Styela clava: one gene and its partner. The protein of the gene in region 2 purifies or fractionates together with the protein of the main gene of each other region. This does not show direct contact. Links are inferred from orthologs where the notes say so. Each region holds a gene or a part of one and is shown on either strand. Other genes may lie near its edges.

What was found.
Region 1: the proteins of DNA-directed RNA polymerases I, II, and III subunit RPABC2-like (region 2) and DNA-directed RNA polymerase III subunit RPC9-like purify together in Homo sapiens (affinity purification with mass spectrometry; 5 studies listed by BioGRID and IntAct, with this or other methods). This does not show direct contact. The link is inferred for Styela clava from reciprocal best matches to the Homo sapiens genes POLR2F and CRCP.

What each region holds. Positions count from the first base shown.
Region 1 is NC_135255.1:9,168,494-9,172,179, forward strand, and holds DNA-directed RNA polymerase III subunit RPC9-like, read right to left. Parts: upstream 2,809-3,686; 5' UTR 2,749-2,808; coding exon 2,308-2,748; 3' UTR 2,206-2,307; intron 2,003-2,205; 3' UTR 532-2,002; downstream 1-531. UniProt on the Homo sapiens protein: DNA-dependent RNA polymerase catalyzes the transcription of DNA into RNA using the four ribonucleoside triphosphates as substrates.
Region 2 is NC_135263.1:9,244,720-9,247,693, forward strand, and holds DNA-directed RNA polymerases I, II, and III subunit RPABC2-like, read left to right. Parts: upstream 1-1,600; 5' UTR 1,601-1,611; coding exon 1,612-1,995; 3' UTR 1,996-2,439; downstream 2,440-2,974. Other genes in the region: uncharacterized protein LOC120340860, read left to right, coding at 2,504-2,546. UniProt on the Homo sapiens protein: DNA-dependent RNA polymerase catalyzes the transcription of DNA into RNA using the four ribonucleoside triphosphates as substrates.

The sequences.
Region 1 (3,686 bases), on a different chromosome or scaffold from region 2:
ATCGTGCAAAAGAGCTTGAAGTCAATACTTCAAGCATATCAATGATTAAACCAAAAAACATGCAAATTATACAAGATCAAAGCATCATAGCGTAACATGACAATATTTTGTTAAATCATGGTGAAACAATAATTGATAGTAAGCAAAGAAACGTTTGTTTTTCCGTGAATCATTTAAGAATATAGCAATATGGTGTTTGAAAAGGCGTATGAATTTGTGTCTCACCGTGCATTATACATATGTCGAAATTTTTATTTTGGGGGAGGGTGGCCTTGAGGGCCATTCCCCCCCCCCCCCACAGAGAAAAAAAATTTCAACATATTCCTAGGTTGACACATAGCCAATTAGTAAAACTTGCCAAAATTAACATATAGCAATTTCAATTTCATCCAAATGTAATAAATTGAACAAAAAAAACTCACCCGCTATTGAAATCCATGTCCACAAAGTGTTTTGCAATTATTCATTGATTCATCCAAAGTACAAAAAGCTAAGCTCAAACAAAACACACCAACTAGTATATACAGCATGCTTTAAAATAAAAATAAAAACATCAGCAATCATGCTTCATAATTTGAATTCAGAAGATTATTACTTAAAAGGATTTTAATTCATCATACAAATCATAGTTGATATTGCCTTTCATACTGCTATACAAATACAGTGAAATAAAATCAAAAATTGAAAAAACTTCATTGCTAGCTCATACAATAATTATGCAGCAAAATAGTCCAAAATAACGGGAACATTTTTTTCTTCCAATCATGAACTTTAAAGAACAAGAATTACAACTTACAAACCACACAATCATTCATATTTTTGGGATACCATATATACACACCGAAAAGTAGGTATATCATGGTATCTACCTAAATCAAAACAAAATAAAACAAATCAACAAAAAAATATCATGCAGAAATAAATTTCAAAATCCAAACAATGACAAAGAAAAAAAAATAAGCTGGCAACAACAACAAAATGACACCACCATACAAATCAGTTCTGTAATTAAAAACCGAAAATTATTTGTCAGCAAAAAAATGATTTGTTCTGAAGACATGCAATGGTGACATAATAATAAACTGGCCTCCTCCAAACATTACATATTAATATGGTAATACTTCAAAACCTAGGCTAACCCAAAGCAATCTGATGTGAAATATACAACAGATGATGTGTTCAAAATGATGCCATCATGGTAACAAACTTTTCATTTTCTCTGTTCCCTGTTATTTTATTTTTCAACCACACCACACATACATGGAAGTTTGTTATATTAATTTTATTAATATATGATTTATAATACGTATCAGTTCAGACTTTAATAAGTAACTTGAAATATTAAATAAACTTAGTGAAATGAAGCATAGTAGAATTTGTTATTTATCGGTACTTGTATTCTGAGAACTTAAAGCATTTTCGAAAACTATTAACAACAAGAGAGCGATGCTCAAATATAAGAACACAAAGTTAAAAACGCTGTAGTACAAGTATGCAATCTGTTACAGTACCGTCACAATGTCATACAATTGTGGAAGACAGTCATCACGATGGCATAAAAATGAGTTCCCCTAATTAAAGATTACACCGCATTTTAGTTAAAATATCAAACAAATAACAACAAATAGTACGGTATAGCCTTCTGGAAAAAATACAATCTCTAACCACTGAAAATTTTAAAGCAATTTGTCTAGTGATTGAAGAGAAAAAATATTTTTTTTCATAATGATAGGAAGAAAAATTTTGACAAAAACATAATAACGAAACGATCCATTGGTCCACTTTGAGTCCAACATTAAAGAATATTACTTCATTGCTATAAAAAGTAATTTCATTTATTAAAAAGATGTTAAATATAAATGTCCTTGTTTATACAATAGAACAATCTGAAATCTCCATGTGTTCTTCTTTTCATGCATCCAACCAGTTCAGTTTTGTAAAGAACTGCCTTTACAGTAAAGTTTTTTCTTTGAAATGGTGATTTTCAAGAAAAGCACAATCTCTGAAAAAGTAAAGCTGTCTCAAATAATTTTTCAAAGCAGTCAATTAATCATCAAGCCAATGTTTCAATTTGTTTTGTTTTTTTATCTCCAATTCCAAGTTCTGCTCAATCCATATTGATAGAATTTCATAAACCTACTATAAATTAACTTCATTCAAATAAGCAAGTGAATCAAATATGCATTTGAAACCACAATGCTTTACCTTCTTTACCCTCAGCCTTTACAATTCAGTCAATGTCTAACATCAGCATATTTCATGACGAAAGATCCATCAACCACCTAATGCTGTTGATTAACGTGAGAATCATTCATTTCCCACTTCCTCCTCCATTTCTTCTGCTTCATTCTCCTTGTCCTCAGATCCGGGACCGGGAGGAAGTTTTTTTACGATTTCTAGAATCTCGTCTATTTGTTCTTCAGAAATTCTTTCTTCATTTTCTTCCACAATTAGCGAAATTTCAACAGGGGTCGTAGGTCGTAAATTCATTATTTGAAGTTTTTCTGCTTTTGACAAATTATATGGTGCCAATGCAAGGCATGCATCTTTAATGCACTGTTCATTTTGATTAATACATGGTGTTCCCTCCAGATATTTAAGAACTTCATATGTGATAGTTGATAAATTTTGATCTCTTTGTCCAGTTTTATGTTTCCCTGTTTTCATTTCTGCAGAATATGTTGTCAATAATCCATGCATTTCATAATTGGATAACATCATTGGAACTTTATCTGATATTACTTCCATTTTTTTACACTTTTATTGATATAATATATTATTTAATAGTAATACTATAAATCTGAAATTAATAAACAAGAATTCAGTTCAATTTCGGTAACCTCACTCAAGTCGAGAAATCATTCTTCATAGATTGAGTTGCAAGCAATCAATGCTGTATTCAGATTGCTATCTAACTCCCAATAAACATTCTGACAACAATGGCCAGGAGTTCTGGAAATAGATTTTGCACGAAATTTGCATTGATCTGAGTGAATACTGTGAGACAAATGGATATTAAAGAGTAATGTTAAAGGCTTAAAAATTATTGTACAGTACAGTAATAGCAGATTGGGAAAAAATACTCTTGAAATAAGTTGTTTTCTTGGGGTTACCCTGTGTAACACATAATAATTAATTCTCCAAATACAAAATGTCCACATATTCAAAAGGTATTAAAAATTTCTATATCGTCAACTGCAACTCACCTAACTGCTGACCTACTTAGTCTGTTAGTGTAAACTCAAACTGTAATATTAGTTGTAAGCCAGTTTCTGAGCTCACCACAAGGTTTCAGTCTTCGAGTTGCTGAGTCTGTGAGTTGAGATTTCTTTTATGCCGAAGAAAACCAAGACCATATACTGAGATATACATGTTCCAGCAGTCAATGTGCCTGACAAAGAAACTGGAATGACAGAATGAGGCCTATGACTGCAGGACTGTCTGACTGCTGCCTGCTGGACTGTCTGAGGGATACGGTACCGTACCGGTATGCGAACTGACGAATTCCATTTTTCATTGTTCCATTTTTTGGTTACAAATGCCTGAATACCGGTACTGGAATACTGAATACCGTACTGGAATTTAATTTATTGATTACTCACTTTTCTGAATTACACTCATATAGACTGTACCGGTACCGGTACCGGTATTGGCGGTATACCGGTACAGGTATAGGCTTGTCAGCT
Region 2 (2,974 bases):
TTTCAATTTTAAATGATCTCTGGAAATTATCCAGTACAGGATATTAGGTAGCTGTTTTATACTTGTAACAATTTTGATGTTTGGTAGATGTTTTTTGAAAGCCCAATACAAAGTAATGGTAGTTTTACATCTGTACCTGACATTATTATTTGATGTATCGTTTTGCTGCTTCAGTTTCGTAGCTTGCTTTTGTGGATTTGCTTATACACAGTGAAAAAAAAGCCAAAAAAAATTATCCCAACTGTAATTTGTTCAGTTTTCTATAAAGGAACGATTACCATATTTACATCCTAAGAAATGTGATCGCTATTATGTTCTTGTATATTGTCAAATTTTTGAAAGGAATTCCAATTTCTTGTGGGAAATTTTGTACTGCAACATTAGTTCATTTTTTATTGAATTTCTTAAATTGCTATCAATTCTTAGAGAAAGTGTTGAAAATGGCATAATACCAAATATCATTGTATCATAATAGGACATTATATGCTTGCTGAATTCTGTTTTTGTTCCTGATTTTATATGTTAATTTGAGTCACGATATGAGATCTTCACTAACTACTATAGTTCTGTAATTTGAAAAGTTCTTTAATTTTTAAATATATTCCACTTTCTAACATAATTGATGTTCATTCCAATTAATGTCAGTACAAGGAAAACAAGTCATTGTATTAAACCACTCCTAATAATGTATGTTAAATTCACAGAAGTAATCGGTGAATGTTGGCGAATATAACTTCTATTTCTTTCAAATCCCTCTGCTAGAATACTCAGTAATGCCACTATAATATCTTTTAATGATTGTCTTGGGGTTTTTTCAATTATTAGAATAGCAAATATAACGACCGATACTACACTCCCGTGGGTCTTGGAATTCAACAATTTTTTCATTGAAATTTTCTCCATCTACAACAGCAGATAGACTACCCTTATTAATGGCTCCTGAGCTCATTTTTGAGTAATAATGCGTCAACATAATTCCGTCTGAACCCCAGGGAATGAAGGCTGTTCATCTTATTGTATTTTTGCAAATCTTAAAAGTTATAAGTGCTCGTGTACGAGTATAGCCAATGTTGATTGGGTTATGAATTTTATCATTACACTGCAGTTATTAAAAAGATCGATAGTACCTTGTTTTGACAATATGAGCTTTTATTCATGTTAGTGTTCTTTATTGTTTGGAGCAGCATCTAACATTTCACCTGACAATTTCATGACTTAATATTATTAATGACCCATGCCTAGTTGATTAAGTATACCCATAATAGAAGAATATTTAAATTTTGACCAAAAAATGCATATATAAAGATTTGCATTACTTATTAGAGCAAGAAAAGCATTTTATATCAGAATCTTCAATTGAAATTGTTATAAGTTAGTTGTTATAAAATAGTTAACATTTGGTTATAAGCTCTTTCTTCTCGTTATACAGATTGAATAATGAAAATGAAATCTATTCTGGGTATGCTTTATCTTCCAGTAGTTAGTTAACTTGTAAAATTTTGATTGTTTTCAATGTTTTTGTTATTGATGTCAGTAGTGAAATAGAAACTTTACATTACAGATTTCTAGCAGTAATTTATAAATAGTTTATTGTACTTGGATCCTGAGAAAATGTCTGATCATGAGGATGATGGTTTTGATGAAGGATTTGATGATGAAGGAGAAGGGATGGAGGATGTGGAAGATGCTAATGATGATAATCAAGAAGAAGGAGGTGTTGGGATTCTAGATGCCCATGAAGCAGGCCCTATAAGTCCTGCGAATCGTATTACTTCACCTTATATGACGAAATATGAACGTGCCCGTGTGTTGGGAACCAGGGCGCTACAAATATCAATGAATGCTCCTGTGATGGTAGAATTAGAAGGAGAAACTGACCCTCTACAAATCGCAATGAAAGAACTAAAAGCAAAAAAGATTCCTATTATTGTTCGAAGATATTTACCGGATGGTAGTTATGAGGACTGGGGTATTGAAGAGTTGATAATTGAGTAACTTGGACTTTACGAGACCGTATGGATTACTACGTTTGTTTGAGTAAAGCTATAGCTACTATGCATGTTCAAATCGAACTAGGATATTGACGAAGTGCGGCTGGCTTCCAAACTGTCATCTACTGGTGGACGACTTGAAATCTATTAAAATAATTATACTATTCCATGGTCTAGTAAATGTCTTGATTTTAAATTGGTTTTTAAACATTATTTAATAGGTCATTATCGGGGTCAAAAAAATTTCTAACCACAATTGAAAAATGAGCGTTTACCTGCTGGTTTCAGAAGTTTAGGTGAGCTGTATGACACAGAACAATACTCTTATTTCTACATTGTGTGTTGCCAGACAAAATTAATGTCACAATTATGTGTATTCAAATTTTGTTTGAAATTATGATACTGCATACATTTTTTATTATCTTAAAACTGCCATCATTTTTTAGAATCTATATTGAGTATTCCTAAATGATATTCTATATATTACTGGGTAATTGATTCTTGATATCAAAATGAAAGTTTTGAATGTAGCTGTTATTGGAGCAGGGGCTGCTGGTGAGTTTTCAGATTATTTATGTTTGTGTGTTAGTGTGTATCCATTTTCTATATATAAAAAAAAAAGTTTTATAAAGCTGAAGGATTAAATATGAAGACTCAGAATAGTTTAGAATTTAAGTCTGTCTTGTGAATAATTTTGTTAGATAAATTTAGATACGGTATATGAATCATTGTGTTCTATGAAAATGGGAATTCACAGAATCACAGAAAATCATCACTTTTTCCTATGAGTAATAATTTTGAATATCATCACACTAATTTCTTCCTAATCCAAATAACTCTTGTATCATCTGTTCAAATGGCATTCAAATAAAAAAAATTAGGTAGAAAATATTACACCTGAATGGGATTTCTTGATCAAAGTGCTGGATGGTATATATTTCTATCACCTCTATAAATCTGCAGACACAATAGACATAATGTCA